2 linked regions of the Mytilus edulis genome follow. The protein of the gene in region 1 interacts with the protein of each later gene in a pairwise test. Links are inferred from orthologs where the notes say so. Each region holds a gene or a part of one and is shown on either strand. Other genes may lie near its edges.

Region 1 (8,889 bases):
TATCAATGTGGATACATTGTGTATAAATGGTTTAGAGGATAGAGTGCCTAAAGTTTTAGGTGCACTTCAAAACAAAATACACTCTTTACAAATAGCCTCAATGGTTCGTTGTTAATACGCTAAATCTTCTTTTGGCATTGAGAATCACAACAAGAAATCTCCAAAGAATCTCATCAGCCCAGTCATACTCTCTTGATCATGGCCATCAACCCAACAATACTTTCTTGAGCTTGGCTCTAGCTGTATCCTCGTCATCTGTGTCCGTGTCACTGTTCGTTACATATGGCGAGGTTCGACACTGTGGTGAGCACAAATACTGAAGTAACGGCAGTCTGTACTTTCCACAGAAGTCAACAAATTTCACATTTTCCACTCGTGAAGCAAAATATACACCTAAAGTAAAAAGATAACAATATATAATATTAAAACTTACAAGTAAATGATAATATATGTAGTTCAAGTATCAAATAATTTATATGAAAAAATTAAGTAAACACATTTCCTTGTATTAACATGTATATATATATACATGTATATATATGTTTCACATGATCTATTAAGGTTTAACTGTGGTTAGTTGCTCCCTAGAAATAATTTTAAGACTCAAAATGATTTAAATGTTGTCATACATGTATTATGGTATGGCGTCTTGTTTCTCGTCGTTGAATAATGTACATGTGTGTTGACCAATAGATGTTCATTTTGATTGTTGTGTTGCTGTTTCCTTGATATTCATCCAATATTTCTCAAATTAATTAAACGCATCACGATAATTTCTGACTTTACAGTATTATAAACAAATCCTTAAATAAAATTTTGTTGTATAAATTCTTTACCTTTGCATTCAGGATTAACACATCTCCGACAGGAATCAAGATAATTGAGTAGGTTTTTTGGCAGATCTTCCTGGTCATATTTTACTTTTTCAATCTTAACAACTCTAGCAGAAAGTTCTAGCAGAGAAGGCACTTCATAGGTTAAATCTTGAACGAATTTAACAACTAATGGATTGTTTCTTAGACTTAATTCTATTAAATTAAGTGCTACGATTTCTGAAGGAAGGGTAGATAATTTGTTGTTGTGAAGACTCAAGGACTTCAAACGATGAAGGTTGACTAAGGTAGGTGGAAGACTTTGGAGTTGGTTATCACACAGGACTAGTGATGTCAGGTTATATAGTTGTCCTATCTCGGCTGGAATGTCTGTAAGTCTGTTTCCACCCATATAAAGGATTTCTAATCTGAAAAATAAATAAATTTGAATACCAGACAATACACTGGTTGTTCAAACATTTTTCTTTCAGTTATGCAAGGCATAATTGAAAACTTTCATGTCAGAATTATACAAAATACAATGCATATTTAAACAAGAATGTGTCCCAAGTACACGGATGCCCCATCCGCACTATCATTTTCTATGTTCTGTGGACTGAAAATGGGGTAAAATCTCTAACTTGGCATTAAAATTAGAAAGATAATATTATAGGGAACATGTTTACTAAGTTTCAAGTTGATTAGACTTCATCAAAAACTACCTCAACCAAAATCTTTAACCTGTAGTGGGACAGACAGAGGCACAGACCAGAAAACATAATGCCCATAAATGGGGCATAAATATAAATTGATGTAGACGTGCTTTAATAGTTTAAGTGCATACATATATTTTGTTGTGAGGGTTGCTTTTAAAATTACAATTCACAGCACTTCTTTCCTAGTTGATAATTACACAGAATGAGACTTCTTATATTTTTTTTAACCATGTTACATTGTAACTTGCAATCCACCAATTACCATTTTTGTATGGTACTTTGTATAAAACTGTCATAGACTATCATGACTATTGTAAAGTGGTCCATTTTTAAAATTCAAAATTTGTAAGGCCAAATTCCTTGTTCTCATTAAGATTTACAGTTGTATTTTCCTGTGCCTAAATCTGATGTTCTTAAAAGATTTCAAATTTACATACTTGTAAGAGTTAGACATGTAAGAAGATTTTTCCTGATAATTTTTAAACCATGAAAATTATGCAAAAATAATTCCCTTAAAAAAAATACCTAATAATAGTATACTATTACTGTAGCTACATGTAAATGAACATGTACAACTTAATAATCTATACATACATGACATACATGCATGACATAAGCAACAAGATACATGTAAGTGTAACTAATCATGCATGACAATCATGACAATGGAAAAATGTGTTAGGGTGATCAACTGCATGTATTTATCAATCTTTATAATTTGTGTAGTCTTACAAAATTTATCTGTTCCACTTTTTCTTTTGATCATGGGAGTCATGTCATAATTATATATATATAATGTGTCTGTTGTCTTTGGGTTATTGGTTTTTTATTATTGAACTTTGAGTATCTGCTTACATGTAAGTCCCCTTTAACATGTTTAACTTAATAAGTAAGTTGTAATTTAGGATTTGTTTATTGAACATTAAATTTTTGAATTTGATTGTTTTCTTGACATGCCTGAGCCCCTGTTGTGGTCATTGAGAAAAAAAACTTAAAAATTTGTTTAGAAAGAATGAAAAATGTTATATAAGTTAAAAAAACTGGAAAAAATGGAAAGTTTTCTCTTCCACCAACATGACCAAGTTTAATTTGTTATGAGATTACACTTGTATGTTGCTTTAAGTACAGTTAGGTGGTAATTACAAAAGATATACATGTACATGTAATACAAGGTTATCTCATGATGTATAGATATAATACTCAATTGCACGTGTATCTTTACATGTACTCCTAATACAAGGTTATCTCATTTATCTCTGATAATATATATATACTCAATTGCATGTGTATCCTAGCTTACATACAGTGTATACACTCATTCACACAATATATTTTCAGCATAGAATTAAATTTCTACTTAACATGCTAAATACGATAAAGGGTGTATATCAATATCATTTTCTGAACCAGTCAGTCCAAAGATGCATTAAAATAGTATCAGCTGTGCCTGTTTATCAGCTTTTTATAGCAAAGTCAGATGAAAGTTTCAATATACATGTTCTGTAATTTTTATTCGATTTAACCCTAAATCAAGGCATTGCTATTTCATTTTTTGTATTTTCTTCTCACTGTTTAATGACTGCCCCGGCCCATTGTCAAAAATTAAGATTCCCTTAATACATTTCTAAAATGATAACTAATTGTTTTGTCATGTTATTTCATATATTTACCATGTTTACCATGTTAGGAACTCAAACAAGCCCCCAAATGCATGAAATGAGGCCATTATGAGGGACGAATCTGGTAAATGATAATCAATGTAAATAGTCTAATTTGGTCATGTTGGTATGTCACATTCGTTAATCAGATGCTCCGCAGGGCACAGCTTTATACGACCGCAGAGGTTGAACCCTGAACAGTTGGGGCAAGTATGGACACAACATTCAAGCTGGATACAGCTCTGAATTTGGATTGTGATTAAATAGTTGACACAGCATAGGTTTCTGACACAGAATAAATGTGGGTGGTCTAATGAACTTAAATTTTTTAATTTTTTTTGCTTTTGAGCAATTCACTATGCTCCTCTTAAAAAAAAAATATTTGAAGAAATTTTCTTTTTAATTTCTGAAATCTGAAATGAAAAATTGACCCCCCCCCCCCCAATTTTTTTTCACCTCCCCCTTTCCCTTACTCCAAAAATGATCTCAATTCAAATTTGCTAATGGAGTTTGCAACAATACATGTAACTACTCATTTAAATGCATCATAAAGTATTAAAATATAAAATGTCATACAGTCATGGTTAAAATTAATATTAATTAATAATAACTTATATAAAAATAAATGGGGAATGTGTCCAAAGGGACACAGATGATGCCCCAGCTAGCATATAATGTTATAAAGGGACATAACTCAAGAACTGTAAAAGTGAAGCTGCCAAAAATTGAACTTATTTAAAACTGAGTTTAGAGGTACATGTAATAAGCATTATATACACATTTCATTAAATTTAGTTGAGACAAACTTATGTTAAGAGAACAGAAACGAAAAAAATCTTCAATTTTTCCATTTGTAAAGGGGCATAACCCTAGAATGGTAATCAAAGTGCTTGTAATCACTGAATGGTAAAGATTACTTTAATATATCAGTTGGTAGTAAAAGTGAATATTGCATTGTATATTGTATAATATAGCATTGATTTAATTTGATTCAACTATTATTCTGGACAAAGAAAGATAAATCCAATTTTCAAAGAAGATTTCATAAAGCATTGGTTTTAGGTAATTCAACAATCATTCTGGACAAAGAAAGATAACTCCAATTTATTGTCTTGAAACTACAAAAATGCTTGTTTTTGGCACTTTATTCCTAGACTGTTTGCCCTGTAACCCTTTAAATATATCCCAACCTTCTACTTACAGTATTAAACATTGTGGTATAATTTCAGAACAATTGAAATACTTCTACTTGTACACAACTTATTGTCCTGACACTAGATAAATGCTTGTTTTGGGCCCCTAATTCCTAAACCTTTGGGACCATAACCCCCAAAATCAATTCCAAACTTCCTTTAGTGGTTATAAACATTACTCATTTATGTTAAAATTTTATTGATTTCTATTTACGTATACTAAAGTTATTATCCGGAAACCATCCGTCTTCGGACGACGCCGAGGACGTGATACCAATATACGACCGCAAAAATTTTTGCGGTCGTATAAAAAGGATCGGATAGTCATATTACAATGAGGGGTCAATTATTCCTCATTTGAGGGGTTGTTCCCAATCTGTTTACCATGTTTACCCCAGGTCTGCTTCATTCATGATCCACATCGACACTTTCAATTACAGAATATTGTACTTTAAACATCAATCTTTAAAACTCAACGTGTTAAAAAAAGCACACAAAGTACTATAATGACTATAAAGTATACTCGTTAATTTGTTTTTACCTAGACATATGCCTAATCAACGATGTAATTGATGAGATGGCATTGCCACCTAAGTATAATGCTTTCAATCGAGGTAGTTCAGTAAACTGTGGAGGTAACTCTGTAAATGAATTGGCAGAAAAGTTCAGCACCTCTAGAGATCGTAGTTTACTAAAATCCTTTGGTATAGTTTTACATTCTAAGTTGTTGTTCTTGGCTATCAAAGTTCTTAATTGTTTTAAATAAACCACAGCATCATCTAGTTTGTGACAGTTGTTGTTACTTATATCCAAAGTGATCAGGTTAGCAAACACATTTATAGACTTAGGTAACACTTCTATATTGTTATGGTGTAGGCATAATGCTCTGATCGACTTCGAACGATCGAATAAATATTCTGGTATGGCTGTTAGGTCACCATATGACAAATCCTCAGCTCCATCACTTAAATATTCATTCTCAGAACAAGAAGTTGTTTCAGACAAATATTCAGCCATTTAATCAATTATGATCTTTAGTCATGAAATATATTCCATATTCTGTATCTCTCTTTACTGTAAGTGGCAACGCACATGACACGAAAGTGACGAGTGATGTTTGTTCTAAATTGTGTCACCTGGTACAGGCTATTATTCAATGGTTCAACATTTAGGAAAATAACAGAGGTGAAGGTCGTTATAAGCTTTGTCCATTTCAAGACCGATTCCTCCTTTGAGTTTATAGATTATTGTTTAAAAAAATAAAGACTTATTTGAAATTAGGTTATTACTCGAATTTTGAAAGAAACACATTTAGGGGAAAATAAATGAAATATTTTTTTACGATAACGTAAGGGATATTTATTTTTTACAAGTACATCAGGGGGAAAAGGCGTGATGGAGGGTGATGAGAGTAAACATTCGAAAGAAGCTATTGAAGAGACCAGTTTAACCAATACAAAGAAAGAAATCAAACAGAATATACAAACCGATAAGCAGGATGAAGAATTAGATTCATTGTTAGACAGTATGAGTCATCGATTAACAGAAATTATACCAATACACAAGATATTTTTATTGAGCTAATCAAGACTGGTGCAAGAGGGTGGATATATTTGTGTACCCCACATGATTATTAACGATAACATTTTATTTAATATAGAGTTAACACTACATAGTAAATTCCATTTATAGCTAACATCACTCTAAATATTTAAAACAATAATCAGGAATGATGATAATAGTTTAAGGCTCGGAGATCATTCTGTATACCTTATCGCTATTTGTCGCCATTACTGGATATCACACATGTTCCCATGGAATTTTGACATCATAAAACAAAATATCTGACGCCACAATGGAAAAGTGATTGTTGTATTCGTCAAAAGTTCAAGCGGCCGGGATAAGCGATAAGGTGTATTAACCTTGCTAATTGTATCATGTGCATGAGGGTGGTAATAGGGGTCCTTTCATGACGATTAATGGTAAAAATTCTTGTCAGTAATGTTTGGCGCAAGATGATAAAATTTAAAACACTTTCCTTTAGACAGTAAAAAAATAACGGCTGATTTTGTCAAATCACGCTAATTTTTGTCCTAAAATGATGGTAAAGATAATTATTCGAAACCTTTTTCAAATCACGATAAGAAGATTTTAACAAATCACTGAAATTTTAACCAATTTGACTCGAACGGTAGCTTAAAATAACAGTTTAACGTCTGACGGTAAAGGGCATTCCTACCCTTGTATATATTATAGTATATTGAAAAGAAGGTGTTTAATGATCTCTATTGCTTGGTTATGAAGACCACGCCTAACCTCCATTAAGGGACCAGTAATTTTAATGAACAGAATAATTATTATTACCTTAATCAAAAGATTAAACTTGTTTAACACAACAAAAAATGGTTATCACAGTTATTAAATTTACTAATCAACAGTAATTGATTTGATGTCATTCCATTCCTATACCAAACTCAAGTTGTTTTTTATAGATGAGTTAAACAGGTAGACCCAAGGTAAAAGGTTGTTAACAAAGTCATTGAACATTTATTATGGGTTCTTACTGTGATGTATGAAATTGACAAAAAAGTGCACGATTCCGAAAATGGTTTTTGCCAATATGTGTTCTGTCCTTGGTTGTTCCAGGTACAAATCAATAGTTCTGTTCCAATATCATTTGTTCTGTGAAACAGGTTTATCCATTCAAATAACTTATTTGTACAAAATAATTATGACAACATTACATTTAAAATATAGATAATTACATTGTATGACATTATTATAATTGAAATTGTTTTGTAAAAGATAACATTATATACAGTTATAGTATAGTTATTATTTTTTCTTTTGAAGAATTCTTTTATTCATAAATAGGATTTTGCATTGTTTTCATACATGTCAAAGAATTTTCAACCTTTTCATTTGAAGTTGAATTCAATTATTACAACAACAAATATACAGTAATGCTAATTTTCTTCAACATATATTAATACAATGTACATGTATAAGAATACATGTATGTTATAGCCTACATTTTGAATTTTTGTTATCTACAAGTTTGCATTCTGTTGAAATATATTTTTTGTATAATAATTAATTTTATTTATAAATAGTGTATCCTATTCATTTTTAAATCAATCTTTAATTTTTTTTTAGGTGCTTTGAAAGATTTTGATGAAGTAAAGCCGAAAACAGCAACAAAAGAGGATCAGAGTAGTGCCAAGAATAATGATTCGGTAAGCTAAAAAACAGCTTTTTGTTATGTTATATCATTTGTATATATGTACCGGTAAAGTAAATGTACATGATATGCATGTTTTCTTTAGACTTGCTGACATCTCTTTCATGTCTATGCTGCAAATTTATGTCTTATCATAATCGACATTGTATGCCCACCATCGTATGCATCATTGAATGCACACCATCAATATTTGTGCATTGTATGCCCACCATCAATATCTGTACATTGTATGCCCACCATCAATATCTACACTGTATACCCACCATCAATATCTGTACATTGTATGCCCACCATCAATATCTACACTGTATACCCACCATCAATATCTGTACATTGTATGCCCACCATCAATATCTGTACATTGTATGCCCACCATCAATATCTACACTGTATACCCACAATCAATATCTGTGCATTGAATGCCAGCCATCAATATCTGTACATTGTATGCCCACCATCAATATCTGTACATTGTATGCCCACCATCAATATCTACATTTTATGCCCACCATCAATATCTGTACATTGTATGCCAACCATCAATATCTGTACATTGTATGCCCACCATCAATATCTGTACATTGTATGCCCACCATCAATATCTATACATTGTATGCCCACCATCAATATCTGTACATTGTATGCCAACCATCATTCAATATCTGTACATTGTATGCCCACCATCAATATCTGTACATTGAATGCCAGCCATCAATATCTATACATTGTATGCCCACCATCAATATCTATTCATTGTATGCCCATCAATATCTATTCATTGTATGCCCACCATTAATATCTGTACATTGTATGTCCAACAACAATACCTTTACATAATATGTCAAAGTCAATGAATTTGAAAGTGTACAGACATACAATACTTGCCTGTATTTCATGAATAATATACATGTAGGTCAAATGATCATGATGATAAATACACACACTATTTTGTTTTTTAGAAATCAAAAGTAAAAAGTTATGGGCTCAATAAATTGATATCTTTATACCATTTTGAAATAATCATGTGTTTCAGGCATCACAGAAATCAGAAGCATCAGGGGATCCTTTGTCGGACATGTTTGCTGATGAGTTCTCAGACGATATGGCAAAACAATTTGAAGAGGCCATGAAAAGTATGGTTGGTGAAGATCCTGAATTAGTTTCACAAATAGAAAAACTAGCAGCTGCTGCTGGCAGTGCAGGTATTGATTTATTATGTAAATTATAGTGACAAGTCTATTATTTAGACAACAAGGAGGGTGGGAAGGT
Region 2 (8,806 bases), on another chromosome or scaffold:
CTAACTAAAAAATTTCAAAAATTGAGCTGCGGGCCTGTAGATTTAGCAGTTCAGCGTGAAGACTGCAAATATACTGCATGCTGCTGTTATTACCATAGAAAACGCCTGAGACGTCTCAAAAATATATAGGCAGTGCTTGTATCATTGTCGGGAACACTACACTGTTTTGAACATACACATGGCGACACGAAACACAATCTGAAATCCATTTTATGATCATGTGATGATATCTAAACTTTTCAAAACAGTGTGCAAAATAATGGCGCCATGTGGGTGCTTACATTTGTCATTCTATGCACCTTTTTTGGTTGAAAAACGCAATTGGCGCACGTCCTTCCCAATCACTGGGTGAATAAATAAAGAGTAATGTAAGTTGGAGCTGTGAGATGTACATCTTTTCAGAAAAAGGGAGAAGGTTTGGATCCATTAAAACGTTTAATCCCGCTGCAAATGTTTGCACCTGTCCTAAGTCAGGAATCTGATGTACAGTAGTTGTCGTTTGTTTATGTAATATATACGTGTTTCTCGTTTCTCGTTTTGTTTATATAGATTAGACCGTTGGTTTTCCCGTTTGAATGGTTTTACACTAGTAATTTTGGGGCCCTTTATAGCTTGTTGTTCGGTGTGAGCTAAGGCTCCGTGTTGAAGGCCGTACTTTAACCTATAATGGTTTACTTTTTAAATTGTTATTTGTATGGAGAGTTGTCTCATTGGCACTCACACCACATCTTCCTATATCTATCTGTACATTGTACCAATAATATGGGGACGAAGTCCCCTATTACCATGATAACAGTAGAAAATTCAATAAAAAAAAAAAAAAAAAAAAAAATCCAGAAAATTTCCCTAATTTTTCATTGTACTAATGAACTCAAAATTGTTTAAAATTTTTTTTGTCGCATTTTTGAATTTCTGGATCTGCGCAGAATTGACCATATTTACCAGTCATTTGCTGACATCATAAATGCAACACAAAAAGAAATGATCCCATATAAAGAAATTAAACCAAGAAAACACCAAAAGCCATGCTGGTGGAGTAGCTCAGTAACATCTGCCAAAAAACACCTAAATCACTGCCAGAAACAATACAGAATGAGGAACATTCCACAAAACAAACAAAGACTCATCATTGCAGAATACAACTTTGACAAGGCAAAGGAAGATGCACAAGAAGAATGGAGTAATAACCTCGTAAACCAACTAAATCAGGCTAAAAACTCAAAAGACTTCTGGAACACGTACAAAAAGATGTCCAGGAAAACAGAAGATAACTCAGTACTCCCATTAATTGTTGAAAATAAAGATCCAATATTTGACAACAAAAGTAAAGTTGAACTTCTACAAAAAATTTTCTTTGGAGGTAGCCACCTAAAGGATGAGTCATTTGATAAAGAATTTTATGATAGTATCAACAAAGAATACAAAGAACTAAATAACATGTATCAGGCAACAAATGAAACAGATCAACATAGAGAAGGCTTTGATAGAGAAATAGACAAAGACGAGGTAGAAGCAGCTATATACCGCCTTCGCACGGGGACTGCCCCAGGACCAGATCAGCAGTTTGCTGAATTCTATAAGCATGCAGGTGACAAATTTACAGAAGCCTTAGTAACAATGATGAACATCATATGGCAAAAAGGGGAATTACCAACAGAATGGAAAATGGCAGATGTAAAATTTCTAAGAAAACCAGGAAAAACCAGCTATTACTCATCCTCTTCTTACAGACCAATCAGCCTAACTTGCATTATATGCAAACTAATGGAGAGAGTCATCCTAGAACGCATTGTGGCATATATTGAGGGTCACAGATTGATTGATTTAACTCAAGAAGGGTTCAGAAAGAATCACTCAACCACCAATGCTCTACTTCGGTTAGTCCAAACAATAGCTGATGGTTACAATGAGGATGAATCAACTCTTGCATGGCTAGTGGACCTTGAAAAGGCATATGACTCAATATGGCGTGAGGGGTTAATGATCAAGCTGCATAAACTTGGGATAAAGGGAAAAACCTGGTTATGGATAAACAGCTTTCTCACAAATCGAACAGCCAGATGTATGCTGAATAACTTCTTTGGAGAACAATTTGATACCAAAATCGGCTTGCCACAAGGGTCAGTACTATCACCCACCTTGTTTAACATATTCATAGCTGATATAATGGATAACACAAAAGGAGAAAATTGCAAGTTTGCAGATGATGGCACTCTATGGCATAAGGGGAAAGACATAAAGGAAATGAAAGAAAGAACTTCAGAGGATGTCAAAACTATTTTAAAATGGACAGAAAAATGGAGAATTAATGTAAACCTGGAAAAGTGTGAAGTATGCCTATTCTCAAAAGGCAACACAGATGCAGAGCAGAAAACATTAAAAGTCAACTCCTTCTCCTATAGATATAGTCCAACACCGAAGCTACTTGGAGTAACTCTAGACGAGAAGCTTAAATTTGACACCCACATCAATCTGATGCAGAAGAGGGCAAATAATGCAATATATGTAATTAGAGATATTAAGGGCATGGGAGGAATATCAAGATCAAAACTACTCCAAATATACAACAGCATGGTTAGATCTATCATGGAGTATGCATGCCCAGTCTGGCAAATAACATCTGCAGAGAATATGAAGAAATTAGAAGCTGTACAAAGAAAAGGCTTGTCAATATGCCTAGGACTACCAGGAACATCAGGTAGAGAGGCAATGGAAGTTGAAGCCAATATACAACCCATAGACCTCAGAATAGAGGAAATATCAGTACGTGAACTGGCAAAAATACAATCAAAGAACATAGCAGAACCAATTAAACAACAACTAGAACAGTATTTAACAAACAACGCAACCTATGAACAACAGGATTCTCCATTTGGTAAAGCTATAAACCAATCCATAGACATGTTCAAAGCCACGAAAGTTGACATCAAACTTATAGAACCAGAATTCACATACAAAGCTGGTGTAGATGTCATGCTAAGGAGATCACCAAGTTATTGGAGTCGTCTAGGTAGCTCAAAGAACAGAACAGCCGAACAAACTGTTGAAAGTAAACAGGTTGTAAAGGACCTATTAGGAGACAGCACAGACTCAACAGTAGTGGCATTCACTGATGGTTCATGTCAAGGTAACCCGGGACCATGTGGGGCAGGAGCAGTAGTATATTCTGGAAATAGCCAAGGCATAAGTCTAAAGAGGCCAGTAGCTAATAGAGGATCGATACTTCTTGCTGAACTAGTAGCCATACTAATGGTCCTGGAGCACTGTATAACGACTATAAAGGACCAGTTTTCTGAGCTTAAAATACTGTCAGATAGCCAGACTGCTGTAGGCATCTTGACTCTGAACTGGAAATCTTCTAACTACATCGACACAATTACTGATATCAAAGAATGCATGGGAACGTTCTTAAGACACGGCATACTAACAACCCTATCTTGGATCCCAGGCCATGCTAATATAGCCGGGAACGAGATAGCGGACCAGTTGGCAAAAGACGCTGCAAAAGAGGCCTCATCACTAAATGATCAGTATAATGTCATAACCATGTCAGATGTAAGATGTGCAGTCAAGATGTCTACAAAACTCAAATGGCAAAGCAGATGGACAATTAGTGAAACTGGAAGACAGCTTTTCAACCTAATTCCTATCGTTGGTAAGGACGCACAACTAGACAAGCCTAACAACCAAATAGGAAGAATATTGTCAGAAATAAGAACGGGCTACAGCAGACTTAACAAATACAGAAACCAAATCGGTCAATCCCTCACGCCATATTGTGAATGCGGAGAAGAAGAAACATCAGAACACTTCCTGCTATACTGCCCAAGATACCAACAAGAAAGAGAGGACATGCGAAGACAAATGGAACTACTTAACATCGATCCAACAAATATACAGTCAATACTAGCACCACCAAAAAGAGAAACCTACGAAGCAACATCGCAAATTGTAGGGGAATATATTACAAAATCAGGGAGATTCCAAGAACTTGCAATCCCTGATTCCCGATCCTGCGCCTAACAAGTATACCAAAGTACCGCGAGATATTACCTCGAGCAACGGTGTACCATAAGAGGAGGAAGATAGCACACAGAGAACAGTAGTGTCAATTATTGACCTTAGGATCAGGATCAGGAACGTTACCTGATGACAGCGTTTCTTTGTTTACATTGAATATGACGTCATAAATTAAATAACATCACACTTAAAATCCCTAACTACAGAACCAAAATCGGAAACGTTACGGTATTTCTGTTTCTCTTTTTAACATGTTTGATTTAAAAAAAATAACCATACAGACTTCGTCCCCATTCACAGGTAATGCCTGCCTCATATTACGAATTATTAGACACTATAAATGTTTAATTCAAAAAGAACACAGAGGTATTGAATCATAATAAGTAATATCTGTATCCATATTTCTCTCATTTTTACGATTTCTAATGGATTTGGCCTTTGCCGGCTTTGGGGGTGTGTCATGGTCTATTCCCAATGTATTTAATTCATTTTTTTCAATTCCACTATCACTTTGTAATGAAATTGGTGTTCACATATTAAAGTTTAACAAATATCTCATCAAACAATGATATATTTATGGATCTTAAGTGAAATTATAACATATTTTGAGCATTTTACCTGCCAAATATATTTATGTTGATGACAAGCCGGAAGTGACAGTGGAAGACTGAGAGCAGCAAGATAACATGAGATTGTTCTTTAAGAGCACTTTATGAAATACGACTAATTAATTGGAAAGATTTTAAAATACAACGCACTCAAACGTTATAAATGAAAACATAATATATTGAATTTTAAAGAATAATATCAACGAAAAATACAAAACATATGTACACAAATTTTTAAAGTTAATTTTTAGGTATGTTTTTTTTTCATGTGAGCATTTTGACCTTTTGGATCATTTTTAATTAAGTTCATTGTTGTGCGTTGTTGTTATTGATTTTATTTTTGTGTATTTAGTTATACTTCTAAAGACTCTAAACAGAAATAATCTGGCTAGACTCTAATAACCTAAAAGCTATTTATGACCATGACCTTTCTCAAAGTCCATGCTCCATACAAAACAAACTACAAATTTGCTTAAAGTTTCTTGATATTTATTGAAAAAAAAAGGGAGCTTAAAATACAAATACTTATTTAAGTTAATAGATCCCTGAAAAACAATGGCCGAAAGTGCAACGCACTTGACATCTGCTATATTCACTTCAAAACCGTCTATTTTTGAAGTTCTTGCCCAGGACAGTCTTATGAGCACAATAAGACCTGCTCTTAAACATGCCATAAAGGCAAGGAATAGTATAGATTTTCACATTGGGTTTAATTGAATGATACTCTTAGCTTAACTACAGATTTTGAATCTCAATACATGTACACCTTATCACTTATCCCGGCTGACCTGGCCGCTTGAACTTTTGACGTCATACACAATCACTTTTCCATTGTGGCGTGAGATATTTTGTTTTACGAAGTCAAAATTTATAGGGAACCTGTGTGATATCCAGAAATGACCGACAAATAGTGATAAGGTGTATAGGTGCAATTAGAGTCTTGAGAGCTAATTCTGTATTCTCCAGTACTGTTAACGAACGACTTAAAGTATCTACAATATATGTGTAAAAGAAGCAATTCCTTTAAGTCGTCTGTTAACATTACTTGAGAATTAAAAATGTTTTTTCTCGCAAGAATCATGCTCTCAAGACTCTGATTACACCTATTGAGATTCAAAATCTGTAGTTAATCAAGTTTAAGAATTGTCGTCTCCTTTTTTCTGAAAAAAAACTATGTCAATTCTTTCCCTCAGTTGAATTAAACAAAACTAATTTGTATAAATGAAATAAATAAACTTAACGGAAGTTAAGCATCACAATTGTCATGATTGTATGGTTTAGGTTCCAAAATCAAATTGAATATCTACATGTACCATCAATTCTAACTAAAAATAAATTCAAAATTTAAATATTTTGACATGGTTTAAGGCCATGAAGGCTACATTTGGTTTCCGATGGATTATTGTCTCATTAACAATCATTCCACTTCATATTTTTATATGTTTTTAAGAATTTAATCCAACAATAAAAGCAATATAAGCATACACATTTTTTATATCCAGATCTGATAGACTCGTGGAGGAAGTTATTGCCCCTAAAAGACATTTTTTTTGTGTTTTTGCAATTTCACAGTCTGATTCAGCCCAAAACACTGTACATTACCGCTGCATGCTGAAATAATCATGAGGGAAGCTGACATATATACTTAGTTAATTTAGCAATCAATAAAATGTTAATCAATACTGTAACAATAATTTTTAACAAATTTATTTTTAATGCTCAATTGCGCCCTGTGAAATTCTTTCCACTGACAATATTTATGTTTTTAATGAAGTATCTGTCTTATGCTTTGATCATGTCTTGAAATTATTTCATAGTTATTCATGTCCCCCTTGAGAACATGTTTTCTTTATACTGTATATATAATAATGAAATTATGTATCCTGTCAAAGAATAGACAAAGTTTCATTTACTTATTATTCATATATATTTGTCTTTTTAGGTTTTAGCAGAGACAAAGCCAGATAAATTTGCATGGATGCTGAGATTTTACGATGAAATATACACAATACTTGATCTAATTCTACAGAATTATTATTTACGTTCATACAGTAAGTCAAATAATTACTTTATTTTTGGATAAGTGGCACAATAATTGATGTAAAAAAAATATGAGAATTTTGTTTTCCTAAACTAAACCCATATATCCATACTTAATTAGATGACACAGTCAAGTCTGAACTTAAAAAATGAATTCAATTATATATATGTTATAAAAATTCTGCCAAAATAACACATAATTTCATATATATATATATATTAACTGTATACTTTTAAATGAAAGCTACTGCAAATATATGGTAAAGTATATATATCCATAACACCAACAAAACCTGCACTGAGACTAACTTTCATTTCAGCCATCATGTTCACAAGTCTTGAAACATTTAAATTAACGTAAAACTACTTTACTTTTTATTAAACATAGAGTTGACCATAGAATTTTATATTCATTCGCTTTAACAGCTATAACCCTATAACCCACATATGATTGTGTCTTCTAATTCTATTTCAGGTGGATCTTTTGCTGAAAACTTTTATGGTATTAAAAGAGTTGATTGTCAGAAGGATCAAAAACAGGAAGATACAAAACTTTCAAAACGTTGTCTAATTAAATCTATCTTATGCTTGGTAAGATTTTGTTGACAGTTAAAATAGGAAATATGTTTTTGTTAACTGTCATTTAAAGTAAAGATGTCATGGTTTTAAGTGTACAAAGAATTCTGTCTAATGGCTTTGTGTAAAATTTTGGATAGTAAGCATTAGATAATGATAATTTATAATACATTGCTTAAATGTGAGCTTTTTGTCATATGGTGCATGAAGTCAAGTTAATCTCATGTAAGATGAAATTACCTGAAAATCATTATCATGATTATGTACCCACAGAATTCTTTGTTCATGTAGGCATGATATTGCTTTAATATCAGAAACTATTGAGAACAATACAAATATGTTTCTGCCTTCCAGTAAAAAGCCTTATGAAATGAATAAGAATCAATTGATCTTTTTGTATTTGGATATCAGTCCAGTATTTATTTTGAAAATGGGAGATAACTCTATAATAAAAAAAGGCAGTTCTGAGTCAAGAATAGCAGACAATGTTTTGTGATGGAAACAGTATGAATAGTAGCTGCTCTTGCCACAACATAACACATATATCTTGACTTGGCTTTTAACCACTACCTTTTAGGAAAACAAGTTGCTTTAGACTACATTCCACCACATGAACAAAATTAATTAAACTTTGTGTACTTAGATGAGTAAGGTCTGCATGATTTTTTTTCTCTTTTTGAATTGTTATTATTTTTTGACAAGTTAGATATAAGATATACAAGTATCAGTATTTTAATGAAAATATTGCAATAATAACTCACTCTTTGTAGGTCATTTTGCCATATATAAAACATAAGTTGGACTTCATTTTTGAAGAATTGAGACACAAAATAAACACAGGAAGACTCAGTCAGGTAAATATGTAATTGTTTAATATTATATAGTTCACATAAAACCTGCTTGAATGAGAATTTTGCTATCCTTTTTTTAAAAACTACAAAAATAACATTAGTAAATTACAATCTGGTATAACATTAAGGCATTCATACTGTAAAAGACAAGAGGTAGCAAAGATCATGAGGTTAATACAGGATGATTATACAGCTAGGTATTCGCCTATGGTTGAGACCATATATTGTCCTTCAGATTTCTTTTCTTTCCATTTCAGAACACGTTGTTATGCAAATTATATAAAGCATTTGTAGCAGTGTATCCCTACATCCATATGGTCTGGGAAGGCAGTATTCTGGTACATTTAATATCTTACATGTTTGGTAAATCAAAATGGCATTCTCCATTTGTCAGACTTTCAGGTGTAGAATTAGTTCATCAAACAGAGGACGATTTACAGTCAACAAATGTTCATAGTCCAGAAGTGTGGCAAGATTTAAGGTGAGTCAAAAGTAGTGTAATGACATAAAATTATGTTATAAAAATATTTTTACCTTGAAATAAAACAAATGAGAAAAAATATGTTTTTTCCTATGCATTTTTTTAATTTATAAAGACTAGGAACATTCTCCATTTTGTAGCATTCATGTTAAACATGTTTAAGGATTGTCAAATAAATCAAAACAGGAAATAGTCCAGTTAAAATTTGATTTGTCCATATCATTAGGGAG

The links.
Region 2: the proteins of peroxisomal biogenesis factor 19-like (region 1) and peroxisome assembly protein 12-like interact in a two-hybrid assay, tested with the Homo sapiens proteins (4 studies listed by BioGRID and IntAct, with this or other methods). The link is inferred for Mytilus edulis from reciprocal best matches to the Homo sapiens genes PEX19 and PEX12.

Annotation. Positions count from the first base shown.
Region 1 is NC_092348.1:72,185,417-72,194,305, reverse strand, and holds the start of peroxisomal biogenesis factor 19-like, read left to right. Parts: upstream 1-5,543; 5' UTR 5,544-5,774; coding exon 5,775-5,904; intron 5,905-7,535; coding exon 7,536-7,615; intron 7,616-8,653; coding exon 8,654-8,822; intron 8,823-8,889. Other genes in the region: leucine-rich repeat-containing protein 58-like, read right to left, coding at 206-393, 837-1,240, 4,921-5,396. UniProt on the Homo sapiens protein: Necessary for early peroxisomal biogenesis. Acts both as a cytosolic chaperone and as an import receptor for peroxisomal membrane proteins (PMPs).
Region 2 is NC_092349.1:85,760,753-85,769,558, forward strand, and holds the start of peroxisome assembly protein 12-like, read left to right. Parts: upstream 1-5,033; 5' UTR 5,034-5,183; coding exon 5,184-5,306; intron 5,307-6,570; coding exon 6,571-6,679; intron 6,680-7,143; coding exon 7,144-7,259; intron 7,260-8,014; coding exon 8,015-8,098; intron 8,099-8,352; coding exon 8,353-8,576; intron 8,577-8,806. Other genes in the region: uncharacterized protein, read left to right, coding at 1,093-4,023. UniProt on the Homo sapiens protein: Component of a retrotranslocation channel required for peroxisome organization by mediating export of the PEX5 receptor from peroxisomes to the cytosol, thereby promoting PEX5 recycling.